Cricetulus griseus: one gene and its partners. The protein of the gene in region 3 interacts with the protein of the main gene of each other region in a pairwise test. Links are inferred from orthologs where the notes say so. Each region holds a gene or a part of one and is shown on either strand. Other genes may lie near its edges. The genes, in order: Spred2, Mid2, Top3b and Ssx2ip.

Evidence for each region.
Region 1: the proteins of Top3b (region 3) and Spred2 interact in binary tests that used the Homo sapiens proteins (3 or more experiments, as listed by UniProt). The link is inferred for Cricetulus griseus from reciprocal best matches to the Homo sapiens genes TOP3B and SPRED2.
Region 2: the proteins of Top3b (region 3) and Mid2 interact in binary tests that used the Homo sapiens proteins (3 or more experiments, as listed by UniProt). The two-hybrid records come from large-scale screens. The link is inferred for Cricetulus griseus from reciprocal best matches to the Homo sapiens genes TOP3B and MID2.
Region 4: the proteins of Top3b (region 3) and Ssx2ip interact in binary tests that used the Homo sapiens proteins (3 or more experiments, as listed by UniProt). The two-hybrid records come from large-scale screens. The link is inferred for Cricetulus griseus from reciprocal best matches to the Homo sapiens genes TOP3B and SSX2IP.

What each region holds. Positions count from the first base shown.
Region 1 is NW_023276807.1:86,504,240-86,509,132, forward strand, and holds part of Spred2 (sprouty-related, EVH1 domain-containing protein 2), read right to left. Parts: intron 2,726-4,893; coding exon 2,548-2,725; intron 1-2,547. UniProt on the Homo sapiens protein: Negatively regulates Ras signaling pathways and downstream activation of MAP kinases. Recruits and translocates NF1 to the cell membrane, thereby enabling NF1-dependent hydrolysis of active GTP-bound Ras to inactive GDP-bound Ras.
Region 2 is NC_048604.1:39,661,227-39,666,711, forward strand, and holds the start of Mid2 (probable E3 ubiquitin-protein ligase MID2), read right to left. Parts: upstream 3,324-5,485; 5' UTR 2,827-3,323; coding exon 2,823-2,826; intron 1-2,822. UniProt on the Homo sapiens protein: E3 ubiquitin ligase that plays a role in microtubule stabilization. Mediates the 'Lys-48'-linked polyubiquitination of LRRK2 to drive its localization to microtubules and its proteasomal degradation in neurons.
Region 3 is NC_048597.1:72,445,001-72,448,711, forward strand, and holds part of Top3b (DNA topoisomerase 3-beta-1), read right to left. Parts: intron 2,438-3,711; coding exon 2,309-2,437; intron 1,775-2,308; coding exon 1,625-1,774; intron 1,294-1,624; coding exon 1,193-1,293; intron 473-1,192; coding exon 271-472; intron 1-270. UniProt on the Homo sapiens protein: Releases the supercoiling and torsional tension of DNA introduced during the DNA replication and transcription by transiently cleaving and rejoining one strand of the DNA duplex.
Region 4 is NW_023276806.1:12,736,510-12,741,402, reverse strand, and holds part of Ssx2ip (afadin- and alpha-actinin-binding protein), read left to right. Parts: intron 1-1,917; coding exon 1,918-2,068; intron 2,069-3,922; coding exon 3,923-4,059; intron 4,060-4,360; coding exon 4,361-4,534; intron 4,535-4,893. UniProt on the Homo sapiens protein: Belongs to an adhesion system, which plays a role in the organization of homotypic, interneuronal and heterotypic cell-cell adherens junctions (AJs).

The DNA of each region.
Region 1 (4,893 bases), on a different chromosome or scaffold from region 3:
CCATCTACAACAATCTCTTTTCTCCTACTACGTGAGTTCCAGGGATTGAACTCAGGCCATGTGCTTGGTTGCCTGTGCCCTCATACACTGGGCCATCTGGCTGGCTGACTAACAATTAACAGTTTTTTAACAAGCAGGAAACCCTATAAGGTCATTCATAAGTGACAGACAGAGACCACTGTTATTCTATCAAATGACAGAGATTTAAAACATATGACCTCAAAATGTTAACGGAAAATCTCACACAGCAGTAGCAGCACCCATGTGAAAAATCATGTTCCAAATTAGCGCTCTCTCTCTCTCTCTCTCTCTCTCTCTCTCTCTCTCTCTCTCTCTCTCTCTCCTTTTTGGTTTTTCAAGACAAGAGTGTCTCTGAGTAGGCCTGCTTGTCCTGGAACTCACTTTGCAGACCAGGCTAGCCTTAAACTCAGAACACAGATGGTCGGCCTATCTCTGCCTCTCAAATGCTGGGATTAAAGGCATGCACCACCAATGCCCGGCTCCAAATTATTTCTTAAAAAGCAAAAAACATGAAATGTGGAAAATGCAGTTAAATGTGTCTTCATAATACTATGGTGATGGGGGGGTACATTCTAAGGAGATGGTCTAACAACGGAACATCACATTAGTGTGAACAACTGGAAAGTTCTTAAAGAGAATGTAGGTGACAAATGAGTGAAATACAAAGCTCTTTACAAACTGACAAAAATTGTGTGGAAATGAAAACGCACAGCTGTGCATTGTGACTGCATTGGTTTGGGGATTTGTGTAATGCTGTATTAAATATGGTCCCCAAGAACAAGAAATCATTCCCTGAGCATCACCCAACTAATGGGCTAACCCTGTGCTTAGCTGGGGGTACATGACAGGCACATGGTAGCCAAGCCACCTTTTTCTAAGATCTTATTTATTTGGTGTGTGTGTGTGTGTGTGTGTGTGTGCTCGCATGTGTGTTTGAGACAGGGGCTCACTACCTAGACTGGCCTGGAGCTTGCTGTGTAGATCAGGCTGGCCTTGAACTTACAGAGATCTGCCTGTGCCTGTCTTAGCCTCCCAAGTGCTAGGATTAAAGGTGTGTACCACCATACCTGGCCATTTCATTTTCTTTATAGTGTGGTCCAACTGCCGGCACAGAGAGAATTTTGAAGAGTGAACTAAGTATAAAGTAGCATTTCAGTTAATCTGTGATATTTACAAACTATTCTGTCTTACCTATTTGGTAATTTTCTTCAACCACAAGAAGTGGTTGGGGAAAAAAGAGCATATCTACACATTTCACACATGAAACCTTCCCAGGCTCTCAAATGTAACACCAACATAGTGAGGAGCCATGTGCATTTCCTCTGGGAGATCTTATATATTCAAAATCTAGAGTGACTGAAAATGTGATGGACTGTTTATATAGTGGAATAAACAGATTGTAAAACGGTGGAAAGTAAACCATGTTGAGAGTAGTCTGTCTGAAGAAGACTTAGGACTGGGGACACATAGCTCTCTGCCGAGAAAGTGCTGGCCCAGGATGTGCAAGGCTCTGGGTTCAAGTCTCAGCAAGAATAGGAAGGAAGGTGAGAGAGACTAGCTTGGGCTGGGGGGTGGAGTTCAATGCTAAAGCAGATGCCCACCATGCACAAAGTCCTAGGTTTGAGCTCTGGCACCTTGCCCCACCCCAAAAAAGAATAAACTGGACTTGGATGGTTTATCTTCCGCCCTATCATAAACCGTTGTGTAACTGGCCATCAAAGTTCCTCCATGAGACTGTATATTATCCCACAATTGGGATAAGGCTCTCTTTCCCATGTATTTGTTTCCTAGCACACACAATTTCTTATAGAAGTGCCATGCTAATGTTCTTCGTGCTTTTCTTTTACCAAAGATGCTTTACTAATTACTTATGAAATAAAAGCTGGGTGTGTTTGTGTGGTGTATATGCACCTTTTGTGAGTGGAGGCTGAAGAAAGATATCAGGCACCCTGCTTTCCCAACCTTCATCTTATTCCTGAGACGAGGTGCCTCAGTGAACCTGGAGCTAAGGCTGGGTCAGTAATCCCTGGTGATCTACAGTGCTGGGTGACAGGCCTGCAAGGCCACCATATTTTTATTTGGGTACTGGGATCCAACCTCAGGTTTTCATGCTTACACGGCAAATACTTGTACACTCTGGGCCATCTTCCCAGCCCCTAGCTCTGGAATCTTTCAGACAAACAATTATTTATAAGGAACCAATGCTAGGTGATGCCTTCTCACTCCTTACCTTCTCCCACCCAAATCTCACATGGAAAACCCTGATTCCAAGTTTGTCGCTACATGACTTGTCAAAGAACATGCTTTTGCTTTTAATACCCGTTAAAATGGCACACCTTGATTAATCAAAGATGCAAACAAAATGGTCAAATACCCTTATTACATGCACTCTATACGATGTATGGCCAAGAGACTGCGCTGAAAATGGGAGGTTATATTAGAAATATCAAAGGGCAAAGGGCTGTAACTTATGTGCAGAAATCAGTCATTGTTACTTTAACTACTAAGATGTGTGTCTGTCATTACCAGTTTGTCTTTCTGTCGTTCACCATGGATGAGAAAGCCGCTTCGTCCATTGCCTTCAGGGTGCATGACCTTACACACCCCAACGCGACTGATCCCGCCTCCTTCCTGTGGGAACCATCCCCCGCTGGAGTCATCTCTGGTCATAACCACAGCCTTGACACGCACAATATAGCTGTCACTAAAACGACAACAAGAAGGGGCATGACAACAGTCTAGTAGCTGCAGAACATGCTTTCTGGGGCAAGACACTTCTGATTTGTCTGCAGATACGGCTGACAATAACCTTAAATGGGAGCCCATCTTGACATTTAGGAAAAACAACATGTAATGCAATATAGAAGTCATCTTAAAAGAGACACCCACTAATCATCACATTTCACTAGTGAATCTCTGAAGATACACACGGGCACAACAATCTCCAGTTTCTGCGTGCTAAGTATTATTGAATGAATAAGCTAATCTCTAGAACTGGACATCTATCTGACTTGGAAAGTCAAGCCTATTAACTTCAAAGGGATGTTACAACCTTAATTTTTTAAACTTAGTTTATAATAAATGACCAAGCTTTAACATTTTATGAATTTAAGAATCCTATTTAGCAAGCAATATAATAATCCACTTCTAAATTACATGGTCACAATTCCATGCACCACTTATATAGGTGTGAAGACTTTAACTCACCTCTACACACTTACAGCCTTTGCTTATAATTTCCTTTTTTTCAGTCTAAATACATGATTTTGCCCTAAGCCCTACTATCCTATTACCTAAAATCCTTTTCCCTATCCCATTAGAACACATATTCCCATCTTGTATATACCAGGCATGGTGCCAGAATTGGGGGAAGCAGTGACATAAAATGGGGAGCCAAGGAGGACTGTGTGCCACCTCAGCACTCAGGGACAGATTCCACAATCTCAGAGACATCCTGTCCTGCCCCGGCCCCCTCCATCTCTGTTCACCTCTCACCCACTTTCTGTGATCTGCTGCTGTGACTTCACTGCCTTCCCACACTCAGGCAACATCTTGTCCCACACAAAAGTCCCTTTGCTTTCTTTACCTAGACTCAGTGGAAGGTGCCAGTGGAGGATCTCTCAGGCAAACACACCCCCTGCCCTGGTCTAAGAGAGATGTGTGCATCACTAAACCATTCCCTACCTGCCTTCAGTTTTCTTCAACTCTAGGTTCCACCCCCCAATTCCATGAAGACTTTACCAGACCGGCAAACTGCCCCATCCCTCTGCACAAAACCTAGTGTGTCACCAGTGGCCCTGAGGATTTTTCTGATAACTGTGCATCTTGTTTCCGGGACTCTTCTCTTTCCATGTCTTTGTACCTGACCAAGGCTACCCATGCACCAAGTCAATCCCTGAGATTACCACCAATAAGGGCACTTCCTCCAAACCTCATTTTTTTTTCCCTTTTGGATAGTCTCATGAAGACTAGGTTGGCCTCAGACTTACTCCATAGATAAGGCTATTTCTCCTTTTTCCAAATCCTCAATTACATACAGGTGTGAGCCATCACCAACATATAATTGTAAGCACCTTACTCTTCAGCCATCACAGGTTCCTCCTCTAGGTTCTAGTGCTCTTCTCTTTACTAGGGCCAGGGGTCTGACTACCTCTTCACACCCTGCTCTCTGCTCCATTCTCTACCTCTCTACCGAACTGTTAGGGCTGCTGCAATAGGTCACAAGGAAACTTTGTTCACAGAGCTTGTTCTTTTTCTGTTGTTGTTTTTTGAGACAGCGTTTCTCTGTGGCTTTGGAGGCTGTCCTGGAACTAGCTCTTGTAGACCAGGATGGTCTCGAACTCACAGATATCCGCCTGCCTCTGCCTCTGCCTCTGGAGTGCTGGGATTAAAGGTGTGCACCACCACTGCCGGCCACAGCGCTTATTCTAAGCCACAGCCACTGACCATACATGGGACATTCTGCTACATCTGCCCTCTGCCCAAAATGCCTTTGGACAGCCTCCTGCCTCCTTGCTCTGAGGTGATCAATGTGCTTGTTTCGTTGGGAAAACCAACAGCAGCAGAGACCTGCCCTCATGCCCTCATGTCTGCACAGCCTCTCCTGTCACACTAGATGAACCACGCCCCATTCCTCCACCTCAACATTCCTCTATGGCAACAATACCCATCTTCACACTTCTACCTGGCCTCCTACCAAGATCCAGACCAATGACAACAGTGGATGATGACATGTCTCTGCTTAGATGTCTAAGCCATCTCAAGCAACACAGATGGAACTCTTCCTTCTCACCCTTTTGGGGTTCTCCCTCCTTAGGGCCAGATACCCCCTTTATTACCCCATTGTTTATATGCTGACCCTACTGGTCATCC
Region 2 (5,485 bases), on a different chromosome or scaffold from region 3:
ACACACAAAGACAAGCAGTTATCTCTAAAAACAGTCATCTGAGACATAAGTCGGTGCCTCATCTCTGTCTTCACCTTTCACGGTTCTACCTTCCTGTTGAGAAAGAGAAATTTTAGCTCTCAGGGACCTAATAGCCAAAGACAGTATTCTTTCCTCTTCATCAAGCCAATGAGTTTTGCTGGGTGATTAAAAAAAAAAACCCAAAAACAATCTTCTGTAGTTTCCTTCTTAATTGTTGTGGTGTCAGCAGATTTTATGGGAGGAGGGAATGGAAAGGTTCACTACTCAGAACACTAGTTGGACACAATTATGAGACTCCACCGGCACTATTTTAAGATCTGCAAGTTGGAGCAAGTTGCCCTGTTCTTAGAGGAAGGATTAACCAATTTTATCTAAGTCAATTTGCACTGTTCAGATGATCTGTTTGTGAAGCAACCATGTCACTCCTATTTGCAGCAGTACCTCTCAGAAATGGTCTTGCAAGGTACAACATGCTAGGTAGAAATCCTAGTAGTTATGAAAGTAAATAGAAGAGAGAGAGCCCTTCATGGTCCATAACCGCTCTTTCTACTCCACACATTACACTCCCCCGCCCCATCCTAGCCTTGGAGATGGAAGCAGAGTTCAGCATAACACAAATATGAACCCAAAATACTGAGACAAGTCTAGGGCCTCAACACAATCAGCAGAGGCCTCTGTATATTAAAGGTTCTTTAAAAAAATATTGACTCACTGCTGCAAGGTGCTAATCATGCTTGGCTAGCCAGACCTAAAACTATGCCACTTTTTATTGGGCATTAAGTAACTGCCCCCATGTTAGCTAAAAATGGGTGAGGTTGTGTATTCAAATGAGTCTGACTCAGATTGTTAGGTTAGAGTGCAATCAATATGATTTATGACTCGACTTAAAATCATCACCATTACTTTCTATGTCTAATTGTGTATGTTTCCATTCAGCTACACATACATTTGGTGAAACAAATTGACTTAAGATCTAAATTACAATAATGATTTGGATCCCAGGGGGACTAATAATGGCAAATTAAGGTTTCTGTAAATTAGTGTTCCCATTTATACCCAGTCAACCCAGTAACCCAATAAAGGATAAATGAAGTGCTTTCATTGAAAAATATAATGCTGAGGTTTATAGAATCCTTTTATCTTCAAAGGACCAAGCCAATACTCACAATACCCAGTGCATAATATTATGCCTTTTATGCAAGGGCAGCAACTGTCAAAGAAAGGTCATACAAATGTCTAAAGGCCATAAAGCCAATGCAACATCACATTTGCAATGGACTCTCTGATCTTGGCTCCAAGACTTGTGTTTCAACCACATGAATCAAGTTTTGTAAGGAACAATCAAGAGAAATTTAATTCACATTATGAGTCTGTATTAAGTTAATTGAGCAGGAATATATAAAAATAACAAAAACTGACTCTCCCTCAGGGCAGTGATGAGTGGGGAGGTAAAAAGGTGTGTGTGTGTGGTGAGGTGCTAAGCCAGGGTATAGCAGAGGCTCCATAAGCAGAAGTGAGAAATATAAACTCTCTATTTGGCAACCCCTTCTCCTGTTGGAATTCTGTCAGAGTTGATTCGATTTCGGAGAGGAAGTAGAATCGAATTAAAGTCAGCCCTTATGGTCCAATTTGAAAATCGGATTAATTAATCCCCACACAACAGTTGTCTATTATTACAATTTCCAGGGTTTTCCTTCATAAATACTCCCCCTCGGAGACACACAACTGCCATTCACCGGCCCCACCCTACAAAATCTTCCAAAAAAGAAAAAAAGCAAAGTGATTGAAAAGCAAGAAGGTGCGTTGCTGGATGATGTGCACAGGTTGGTAGAGAAAAGCCGAGAGTGCGGGGACTCTGGGGAGAGACGTGGGTGGACAAATGTTGTGAGGCAGGAATAAGAGGCATACTAGTGTCAGTGCATAAGGAGTGCCAAGAGAGTGGAAAGTGAGGAGTCCCATCATCTCAGGATCCTAATTGCCTGCTCGAAATAGAAATGCCTCCAAACTAAATAAATAAATAATGTGCTGCACGTGAAGTGCGAAATAACCTAAGCCAGCTCATGGCCAGTAGTGTTACAGTAAATCTGCCTGCCGTTACTTAATTCTTACGAGCCCGAAATGGGAAAAGCCTCAAATGTTCCTGCTTCAGTAGCAGTGTGTCCTGTGGACACCCTCAAGTTTTCCTTCTCCCCCCCCCCCCCACGGCGCTGCTTTCACAGCTAGGCCAGAAATAAGGAACCACCCAGACAGAGACTTGAGGATCCCTTGCTTCCTCCAGCGAAAAGGGGGGATTAAGTTTCTCCCGGGTTCCCGCCGGCTGGGTGTCCGCAGCATCACAGGCTGCTGCGCCAGCACCGCTGAGCAAACCGCCGACCACGGGGCGCCGCCCGGGCCGAGGACGCCGTGGATTGCGGGAGCGTGGGAAGGCGGCTGCGCCCTTTCCCAGACTTGCGCCTGGGCGCCAGGAGAGCCGCTCCACTGCTTTCTCCCGGCTGGGCCTGGCCAAGCGGGAGGCCTCGGGCCGTTCCCCGCCTGGGATCCAGGAGTGCAAACTCCTTCGCACGAGGGCAGTGGCAGGAACCCGGGTCACCACAGTGTGACAGACACCGCGGGCCCCGCTACTGCCGCCTGGAGCCTCGCGGACCCTGTCTCCCCCCCTCCCCTTCCCGCCGAGCCCGGGTATCCTCGGCCAACGCTGGCACCTGAAGAGCAACCGGAGCCGGGGCCGAGCCCTGCGCGGGCGGCGACACTCGACCCCCCCACCCACCCAAGGGCCGCGACGAGGGGACGCATTTTTTTACCCATATTGTTCTCGGGTGCCAGCCATGTCCTACACGCGCCTGGGAGCGTCGGCCGCTCGCTGGCCTCCGCAGCAAGCTGGCTTGGGCTCCCGTGCGAGCTCCCGGGCCGCTGTCGCTGCCGCCGCCGCCACCACCACTCTAGGCCGCCGCCTGCCTTCGCCGCTGCGGCCGCCGCCGCCACCGCCGCGCAGCAGCCGGGATCCGCCAGCCCGCGCGCCCCACAGGGGACAGCACGGAGACCGCGACGTTCCCGCGTCTGGGTCTCCCGGGCGAAACTTGAGAGTTTTCGCCTCTCAGTCCAGAGGCAGCACCATGACACCACCGCAGCACCACACTGTCATTTCCGCCGCCGCAGAGGAAAAAAAAAAAAGCAATCCCTTCGAAAGGAGGGTGGAGTGGGGGCAAGCGGAGCCGAAGCTGACACCCCCAAGGGAGCACTGGGAGGGGCCCGCGCAGAAGGGGCGCTGGGCCACCTTCCTAGGCTCACCTTCCTCCGCCCCCGCCACTCCCAGCTCCCCGTGCCCCTCCTCTGGAGGCGCGCTTACATGTTTTCTCCCCCGGCAGGAGTGACCGGAGAAACCTGAGCAAGCAAAGGCAGCGGGTGGGTGGGGTTCAGATTACTACTGTACCTACCAGCTGATTCCAGCAGCCTTTTCTCCAGCGCCCTGTCATCTTGATGGAAGACACAGGGAAAAGGGGTCTGAGCAGGCGTGTGTGTGTGTGTGTGTGTGTGTGTGTGTGTGTGTGTGTGTGTGTGTGTGTGTGTGTGTGTGTGTGTGTAGTATGCGTGCGTCTGCGAGCGGGTAGTGTGTGTGAAGTGCAGAGGGAAGACTATGGCCAAACTCTTCTCCCACCCACCACCCACTACCTCCACAAACCCCCAGATTAGCAAGGAAAAGGCACCCGCCAATGAGAAGAGTCTGCCTGGAACCTCCGCACAGGTCCTCCTGATGAAGCTGTACTATTGTACTATGCAAAGTTAACTAGAGAGTAAAACTAGAGAGGCATGGAAGAGATAGAGAAGGACAGACAATTGAAGGAAACCCAACCCCTTTCTCTTTTTACAAAGGGAGAGTGGCTGTGTTCTATTGGCCTTGGCCACAAGTTGTTCGGGTGGATTAAAGCCACTGAAAGTGTATGGGGGAGTAAAGGTTTCTTTTGCACCTTCAGACACTTGACAAACAAGACAAGATGGTCATTAACAGAAGGTCAAAGAGGCAGAAGCTAGTCATCCAAGAATGCTAGGTCCCTATTAAGAAGATTGGTCCATTTGGAACCCAGGAGCCTCCCATTGGTCTGGAGTCAGCCTATTTACTATTGACTCAAAGACCACTGCCCCTCTTAAGGTGGATGAGAGAAGGAAGCTGCCCCAGAGGATACTGCTTTAAACTCCACTCAAAAAGAGAGAAGAGGAAAGCAATCACATGAGCCTCCTATTACTGTGCTTGGGAACAAATCCAGAAAAAAAATGAAGGTTGCTGGGTGTGTCTTGTCAGGGAACCAATAGCAGTCACCCAACAGCACTGTTAAACAGTGTGCTAGAGAACTATGGAGTGGAAATGAAGGGGAAAAACCCAACCATGCTACCTTAAGGGAAGTACAGGGCTGAGAGATCTTAAAGTTAATGCGTCATACCCAAAACACAGACAACAAAAGCAAATGACATATGAGACTACATAGCACCTAACACCTACACAATAGAATGCACAATCAACACAGTTGGGAATGGGCGAAAATATTTGAAAACCATACGTGATAAAGGCTTAATATCTAGAATATACAAAGAGGGTAAAGTCAGCTCCCCTACATGCATGCTCTCAGGGTCGGTTCACCCTGGCCTGTGGTGAAGGGTGGGGGCCATCTCTCCAGCTTACAGGGACCAGCTCTCTTGCTGTTGTGTCCAGTGAGAGGCAAGGCCAGCTTTCCCAGGGCCAGTGAAGGGCGTGCCTGCCTCAGCATGGCCCTCTGATTTCATCTCGAATGGTTCCTAGGGTTTCATGAGGTGATACAGGCCACAGACACCCACACAGACCCCATTTGTAGCTGGACCACCCACCCAGACATGGCCCAAGGCAAGCAACTTGAGCCCAGATGACATCTGGGCTCTGGGTGGAGCTACTGGCCACTCAGGTGGGGATGATTGACTTTTTTTTCAGAAGTACATTCTTTTTATTTCTTTAGATATGCATATACAGATACATAAAAGAAATTTTACATTTCCTAAGATGACTCTCCATTTCTTCTACTTGTATTAAACTAATGCTCATAAAGATACTGAAGGACTGTTTCAAAAAACCTTATCTTCAGTAACCTCAAAAATATGGAACACTTTACGAATTTGCGTGTCATCCTTGTACAGGGGCCATGCTAATCTTCTCTGTATCATTCCAATTTTAGTATATGTGCTGCTGAGGCGAGCGCATGATTGACTTTTTAGAAATAATTTTAAAGACTAAAGGTCATAGAGATAGGAAGTAGAATGAAAGTTACTAGGGGCCAAGGGCATGACGGAATGAGTTGTTTAAAACATACATGGTTTCTGTGTGGGATTCTTGAAAATTTTCTAGAAATAATTTGTTTCATGGAAGTAATTAATGCAACTAATAGTACACTAAAAAGTGGTTAAAGTGGTAAATTGTATGTTATGTATATTCAACCACAGA
Region 3 (3,711 bases):
CCTAGGGGGCTTTGTTTGCCAGGTGTCACTGTCTGAGACTGCTTGTCTCTCACTTAGCCCAGGCCCTGAGACACAGCTTGTCCTCTGTCCAGATCCTAAGTGAACAAACTGCTTATTCAATTATGACCCAGGGGTACCCAGACCTGAGCAGTGGCCCAAGTATTTCTGGGGTCTCTGACTCAGTACTAGTGGGTACAGATAGGGAAGGATGGGTAAGGGACCCCATTGGAGTCTGGTATGATGCTGGGAACAGCCATGTGCCATACTTACCTTTCTTCATGTCTCGGAAGGGTGGGTGGTTATAGCAGTAGGGACACAGTGGGTAGCTCTTGCCCCGGGAGCCTGAGGACCACAGGACCAGTTCAAAGTCATCCAATGGACACCGCAGCTCCTTGTAGAGCTTGATGGTACCATTCTGGGGGAGGGTGTAGGTCTCGTCACAGTGGGAGCAGTGTAGGCGGCTTGGCTTGGCCTATGGGATGGGATGGGAACAATGAGAAGGGGTATGAGAGCTGCTTGGTGTGCCTCTTGCCCAAAGTCCTCCCCTTCACAACACGAATAGGCAATGCGGAATACCTAACAGATACACAGAATGTACAATTCAGTGTCAGGCAAGGACCTCTCAACCACTGGTATGAGGCCCAGTTATCACACCACCCCTTTCCTTCCTCCCTCCCTCTTTTCCACAGGCAGGGATTCTAAAGCCCCAGCACAGGGCTGGTGGATGGTCATCAGGTGAAGGTACTTGATGTGAAGCTGAGTTCAATCCTTAGAACATCTGATGGAAGGAGAGAACTGACTCCTGCAAGTTGTTCTCTGACCTCCACATGTGTTGTGGAGTGCACGCACATATGGGCATGCTTGTGCGCACACACAACCGGACTGTTACCAATAGTCATGAGAGCAAGAGAAATGATGGTGGGCGGTGGTGGCGCACCAAGGCCACACAAAGAAACCCTATCTCAGGGGGAAAAAGATAGAAATGGTGGCAAGAGGGAATGGATGGACACTGTGTGTGCATCCTGGTGGTTTATGTTGTTATCAGTGTGGATTCAGACCCTTTAATCATTCTGTGTGACAACTAAGACAACAAACATTATTTCTGCAGGACTGATGACAAAGCAAAGGGTTAAGGTGATGTGTGCAGGAATACCGTGGCCAGAAGTGGCTATAGTCCTTCGGCTCCACATACCTGGATGTACTTCATAAATCGATGGCACTTCCCACAACGTGAGAGGGGCTTGCCCGTGGCAGCCAGGGGTGAAAAGGATACCTCCATCAACTCGTCCATGCCTGAGAACAAGCAGAGCCCAGGAGTCATGTCTCTCTTGTCTTTGGCAGCCAACAGGTGGCTTGTGGGACGGGGTGAGCTGGGTGGGACTGGATGGAACACAGAGTCCAGCACATATATATGGTCAAGAGCCCAGTTGTGACTGTCAATGATAGACTATGGAGCTGTAGCCCTGTTCATCAGCTTTGTATATGCCCAGTGTGGATGCTGATCAACCTGGACAATAGCTGATGACCTGAAGACGCTCAGAGCCTGGATGTGGGAGTGGGCCTCAGGTGGCTGTGTCCTACTGGAATGGCTGCTGCTGAAGGGCAGGGAAGAGGCAGGTCTTACCAGCAATAGAATCAACAAAGTAGTGGAACTTTCTCTTGAAGATATCCAGGGTGTGGCCCAGAACCTGGTGGTAGTCAGCTTTGCCCTGAGCAATCAGGTTCAACTGCTTTTCCACTGCGCTTCGGATGGTGGGGAGTACCAGCTCTGCATCTATAAGCCAGTGGGTGAATGCTGCTGTGGGCACTGGCACGCAGGACCCTGCTACCCCACTGGGCAGGCAAGAACTGCTGTCTTGCTTGACCCAGTTTTCCTGGGTTCCCCCTGGCTGCTTGTCTACAGAGTTGGAAGCATCAAGGGCAGCTCCTATCGCCGTCAAACTTTCCCTGGTTTCCCATCAGAAAAGTTTTTTTTTTTTTTTTTTTTTTTTTGTGTGTGTGTGTGTGTGTGTAGAAATCTTGTGCAGAATGGCCAGGTCTGTGCTGCATTCCTCCATCTTGCAAAGAACTGGGGGCATGCTTTAGTGAGCAGCTGGTGGAGAACCAGGTCTGCTTTGTGGAAGAACCCTCTGTTGGACCCATTATAATCTGTTCATTAATCAAATTCCTGAGTCCTCACAGCATCTTTGTAGTGGGGACTGGGGAAACGCATGAGGAGCACAGGGCCACTGTAGGAGGCTGCAGAGCTACAGCGTAGGAAGGAACCGGGAAGCCCAGCAGGTCACAGGTAGTGGGTAGATAGACTCACCGATCTTGTAGTAACCATGTACCAGAACGATGCCAAGGTTGGTGGGCTTGAGCCGGCGGCCACTCTCCACAGTGACATAGTTGCGCTGGCAGATGTTGTTGATGTGCACAGGGATACTGGCATCAGTCCCTGGAAGGCACAGCATGGCTCTGGGTATCCCTCAGCCTGCCCCAGAAGATGCTCTGGGCTATGCACTCTAGTCTCATCCACCTGTCAAAGGAACCCTGTTTTCTGGCCCTCCCAGACACCCGTGGAAGGAGTATCATGTTACAAACTGCAGCTTATTTTGCTCACTGGGTCCAGACTGCTGTCTCCTGTATGGCTTCCAGAAGCCATGATACAGAAAGGTTCCCAAGACAGAGCAGGGCTGTCTCTGCACTGTGCTGGCACACCTGTTAACCCAAGGACAGGCTTCATTGGTGTTTAGTTTTATAATTAGAAGACAGAGGCCCAGAGAGTATAAAGGACTATGTTAAGGTCAGAGAGCATTTCCTGAAACCATTAAATGCAACTTGGCCTCTTCTACCTGGACTGTGACACATATGTTCTCTAGACATCAGGGTCCAGCTGCTAGTGCTGGCAGAGGAACATTTATCTTTCCATAAGTACTCTCAGCAACTTTTATAGGGAAGATACTGCCATCGGGGGTTGAGGAGCTTTCAGAGGTTCCATGACTCATAGCCAAGGGTAGGAATTGGCCCCAATCATGGCAGTTTGCACATGCAATGGTTCCTGGATGACTGTTATAGTCAGATCTTGTTTTTTGTTTTTGTTTTTAAAGACAGAGTCTCACTCCATAGCCCAGGCTGGCCTTGAACTTGTGGCAATCTTTCTTCCTCAGCTTCCTAAATGCTAGGATTACAGATACAAGTCATTATGTCCAGGTAGGTAAGCCCTTTTTTATACTGCCCATGGACCTTGTTCAACAACACTGCCTTCATTCACTTTCCTGTTCAGAAGGTCACATAAGAACGCTGTTCACTGTCCCAAACTGAAGTGTATGTTGGTCTCTGGGTCTGTAGCAGTCTCACATATGCTACTAATTTAAGTCATGGCTGTGGGAAAGGCTCTTAGCACTTGGCTAGCCCATCAATGGGAACTTGCTGCAGGCTGAGGTTACTATCAGGACTCACTTTAGGCACCTGGCCCTGGGGAGAAGCAGACCACACCAGAATTCTAGGGTAAGCCTGCCCAGTTAGTTGTGTGTTTTGGGGAGGCTGCTAATCTGTCCCAGGAATCCTTCAGAATCCTGGGCTAACCTTGAGTCTGGAGGGCACTTGTCAGTGTATACTGGTCCCTTGGTGCACAAGGCTGTATCAGTCTTCATACAGAAGGCCAGGTTGAGATGCAGGGCCTTGTAAACAGCTTTACAGTGAGTTAGCCTGGAGCCATGGGTCATATAC
Region 4 (4,893 bases), on a different chromosome or scaffold from region 3:
AAAATATACTTTATTGGGGGTGTGGTATGGAGATCAGAGGACAACTTGTGGAAGTCAGTGTCGTCTTCCACCATTGCATCAGATGGGTCCCAGGTGTTGAACTCAGGTCATCCAGGTTGGTGGCAGGTGCCTTTACCATCTCCTGACCTGATCAGTGTTAACAGCAGGTTTGGTTTGTTTTTCTTTGTTTTTTGTTTGTTTGTTTGTTTGTTTTGAGACAGGGTTTCTCTGTGGCTTTGGAGGCTGTCCTGGAACTAGCTCTTGTAGACCAGGCTGGTCTCGAACTCACAGAGATCCACCTGCCTCCCGAGTGCTGGGACTAAAGGTGTGTGCCACCACCGCCAGGTTTGTAATCAGGGTGTAGCACCTGATTAAATCCCTCCTGCTCCACAAGCTGCAGCTTTAAGTATAGCATGATGCTGCAGCTGGGAAATTCTAAATTGGATCTCCCAAGACAGCGCAGCGGGAATCAAGCCACACAAAAATATTTCATAAGTAAATTACTTTCAGATTGTGCATACAAGGTACATTTGAAATAGAGTTCATGTTTAGGCTTATATCATACTTCTAACACATACACATAAGCAGACAGACAGAAGAGACAGATACTGTAAAATCCCAAAGTATCTTAAATCCCAAGTGCTCAGGCCCCAAGTGTCTGGTGAGGGATGCTTAGTCTGTAGTCTAAGAGACTTTGAAATGGGTTACAGGCCCATAGCTCCTGGAGACCAATGATGGCAAGAACAGTCACTGAGCCATCTGCTAAGCCTTAATCACCCGCTCCGCTTAGCTGGATCTGCTACCCCAGTGCTGATGTCACAGTGTCTGCTTAGACCTGACCTCTGCTACCCCAGTGCTGACGTCACAGCGTCTGCTTAGACCTGACCTCTGCTACCCCAGTGCTGACGTCACAGCGTCTGCTTAGACCTGACCTCTGCTACCCCAGTGCTGACGTCACAGCGTCTGCTTGGACCTGACCTCTGTTACCCCAGTGCTGACGTCACAGCGTCTGCTTAGACCTGACCTCTGCTATCCCAGTGCTGACGTCACAGCGTCTGCTTAGACCTGACCTCTGACCTGACCTCTGCTACCCCAGTGCTGACGTCACAGCGTCTGCTTAGACCTGACCTCTGCTACCCCAGTGCTGACGTCACAGCATCTGCTTAGACCTGACCTCTGCTACCCCAGTGCTGACGTCACAGCGTCTGCTTAGACCTGACCTCTGTTACCCCAGTGCCAGCTCTTCATTGCTGCTGCATTTGTCTGATTGGGGGGAGGGGGGTATAATAACTCTTCTTTCTTTTAACCTTTTGCCACCTTTCTCCTGAGAGGTATTTTTCATAGTCAAGTGTTTCAACCTTCCTGGAAATTAGTAACAAATAAAGACTATTGTATATAGATGCATGTTTGACTTAAGTTTTCATATTGTTTTCTGTGGTAACTTAATCAACATTGGTACATTTTCCTATAATTTCATGTTTTGGTCCAACAAAAAGAAAAACATGTCAGCCATAAAATGATAGGAGAATTGGGATTAACTGTTTGACTCTGTTGATAATTTCAAAAGGTTTACTTGTTGCAGCAGTCTAAACTTAGAGACAAATCGACCAGTCTCAGTCCTGCCTGTCTTCTGTGTGACACTGAGCCTGCCTCTGAGCCTGAGTTTCTTTTTTGCACAGTTTGAGAAGTAAATGTGCAGCAGCATCCAGCACAGCATTGCACAGACAGCAGCTGTCTCAGACAGCTCTGTCAGTCAGATTGGAAGAGATCTGAATTTGGGAGTTTCTGTCTTCAGTACCTTTTTACAAGATATAGATACTGGCTAATGGGTGAGAGATTGCTTGAGCCCGATAGAGCAGCCTGGGTGTAAAAGCATTGTAAGTTACTGGTCTTTCCGTCGTTCTCTTTGGGCTGTAGGTTATCTCTGATATTGAAGATGACCTTGGAGAGCTGAGCAGAGAGAGCGCGTGGGGCCTCTCCTGTGACACTGTGAGAGAGCAGCTTACAAACAGCATCAGGAGACAGTGGAGGATCTTGAAAAGTCACGTGGAAAAACTCGATAACCAAGGTAACCCCTGCTGCAGTGCAGGAGAAGTGGGCGCCATGTAAGCTGCTGCTGTCCAGTGCAGGGCTGGCTGCTCTGGGTGTCTGGTTCTGCCTGGTTTGCCCCTGGCTTTGCACTCACTGACAGAGATGCACCTGGCTCCAGAACAAGTCTTAGAGAGCAGCATTGCTCACACTTGAAGTCCCCGTGCAGCTCGGTAGTGAACTGAACAACTTGTAGCTCGAGTATGAAGGCAAGCACTCTTATATGTGTTAAAGTCTGCGTGCTTCTAAATCAGGAAAGTTGAGTTTGTGCTTTTTCAGGTTTACATTTATCATTTTAATTGTGTTTGTGTGTGCAAAGGGGCGTGTCATGTGAGTGTAGGTTTCTGTGGAGGCCAGAGGTGCTGACTCCCCGGAGCTGAAGTTAACAGGTAGTTACAAGACCCCAACATGGGTGCTAGAAATGGAGCCTGGGAGCTCTAAGGAACAGAGTGCACTTTTCACCTCTGTCATTTCTTGAGCACTAAAATTTCTGTTTAGTAAAGTCAGTTACTTAAAGTTTATTGGAGTTATCAGTACAAAGCTGTGAGTCACAAAGGACAAACAGCATAGTTCTCACAGTTGCACATTCACTTGCAGTAATTTATTTTAAATGTGTGTTCAAGACCAGCTTAAGACAATAGTGGCTTTAAAACCTGTGCCTAGTTTCTGGCTCTCATCGTGGTTTCTATTGTTTTGGTAAACACCATGACCAGAAGCATCTTGAGAGGAAAGGGTAAATTTTACTCTGTGTGTGTGTGTGTGTGTGTGTGTGTGTGTGTGTGTGTGTGTGTGTGTGTTCCATTTTTTTATTTGAATTAGAAACAAGATTGTTTTACATGACAATTCCAGTTCCCTCTCCCTTCCCTCCTCCCCTGCCCCCCCCCCAACTAAAACGCTACCTATCACAAAACCTTTCTGCGCCCCCAGGGAGAGTGAGGCCTTCCATAGGGGATCTTCAGAGTCTATCATATCCTTTGGGATAGGGCCTAGGCCCAACCCCCGTGTGTCTTGGCTAAGGGAGTATCCCTCTATGTGGAATGGGCTCCCAAATCCACACCTAAGCTAGGGATAAGTACTGATCTACTACAAGAGGTCCCGTAGATTTCCGAGGTCTCCTCACTGACACCCACGTTCAGGGGGTCTGTGTCAGTCCCATGCTGGTTTCCCAGCTATCAGTCTGGGGACCAAGAGCTCCCCGTTGTTCAGGTCAGCTGTTTCTGTGGGTTTCAGCAGCTAATCCTTTGCTCATCACTGGTTCTTTTCTGGAACTGGATTCCAGTTCATTTCAGTGATTAGTTGTGGGTGTCTGCTTCTACTTCCATCAGCTGCTGGATGAGGGCTATCAGGTGGCATATAAGTCAGTCATCAATCTCATAATCAGGGGAGGGCATTTAAGGTAGCCTCTCCTCTGTTGCTTAGATTGTTAGCTGGTGTCATCATTGTCGATCTCCAGACATTTCCCGAGTGCCTGATTTCTCTTTAAACCTAAAATATCTCCCTCTATTATGGTATCTCTTATCTTATAAGAGATAACCTGCTTTCTCATACAACTCCAGACCACTTTCTCAGTGGTGGCCCCATCATACTGAGCTGGGCCTCCCACAAGGCCAGCCTGGTCTACAACGTGAGTTCCGAGACAGCCAGGGCTATACAGAGAAACCCTACTCCAAAAACAAACAAACAAACAAACAACTCATTACTGAAGAAAATGTCTCACAAGCTTGTCTGTGGAAGCATTTTCTCAGTTGTTCTCAGTTTGGGGCCCTCTTCTTTGATGACCCTTGCTGGAGTCAGGGTGACAGCAAACTAACCCAGCACACTGGGATTCTGTCAGTTTCAAAGGTCCACTCAGAAGGCCTCAATGATGAGGACGTCATCTCACGACAGGACCATGAAGAAGAGACTGAGAAACTGGAATTGGAGATCCAGCAGTGTAAAGAGATGATCCGAGCACAGCAGCAGCTCTTACAGGTAAAGGGATGGCCTCGGGGTGTTATTGAACCTGCTAGATTTTTGCTCCTGTGTCTCCTGAGGTCTGTAGAGTTGACACCCTTTACCATCTCAGGTGAGTCATCTGAACTAGCAGTTAATGAGCTGCAGCCTTGTTCACCTGGCCCCTACTTTGCCAAGGGAAGCAGCTCTTGGGAAAGCAAGTTCTCATTGCTTCATCGTGTATGTCCTTGGCCAAGCTCTGACCCATCTTCCCTGCGTTCACTGGAGTGTGAGTAAGCTGTCTGGGTTTCCTGACTTACTGTGTTTTAAACCTTAATAGCAGCAGCTGGCCACGACATGTGATGATGACACAACCTCACTGCTTCGAGACTGTTACTTGCTGGAAGAAAAGGAACGCCTTAAAGAAGAGTGGTCCCTTTTTAAAGAGCAAAAAAAGAATTTTGAGAGAGAAAGACGCAGCTTTACAGAAGCTGCGATCCGCTTGGGGCTGGAGGTGAGCTCTGCAGTGCTGCAGCCCCGAGCACAGGTGTCTGGGAGGGTGCAGGTGGATGCTCCTTGGATCCACTTCATCTGAAGGATCACACTAGCCATCCTACTCCCTGAGAAGAATGGTCAGAAATGACTACACTGTTAGTTTGGGATCTCAGCCATCCTCAGGCTGAGCTTTTAAGCACAAAACCAAAACTTGGGTTGACATACTTCAGTTAACAAGAACAGTTAGCCAGAGGCAGAAGTACAGAAGCCAGAAAGCAAGGCTAGTACATTTAGAGACTTTCCAAGAACTGTAGCTTTGGTGGACTAGATCTTTGTTTTGGTTTTGGCTAGAGGTGCTGTCCACATGCTGAGATCCAT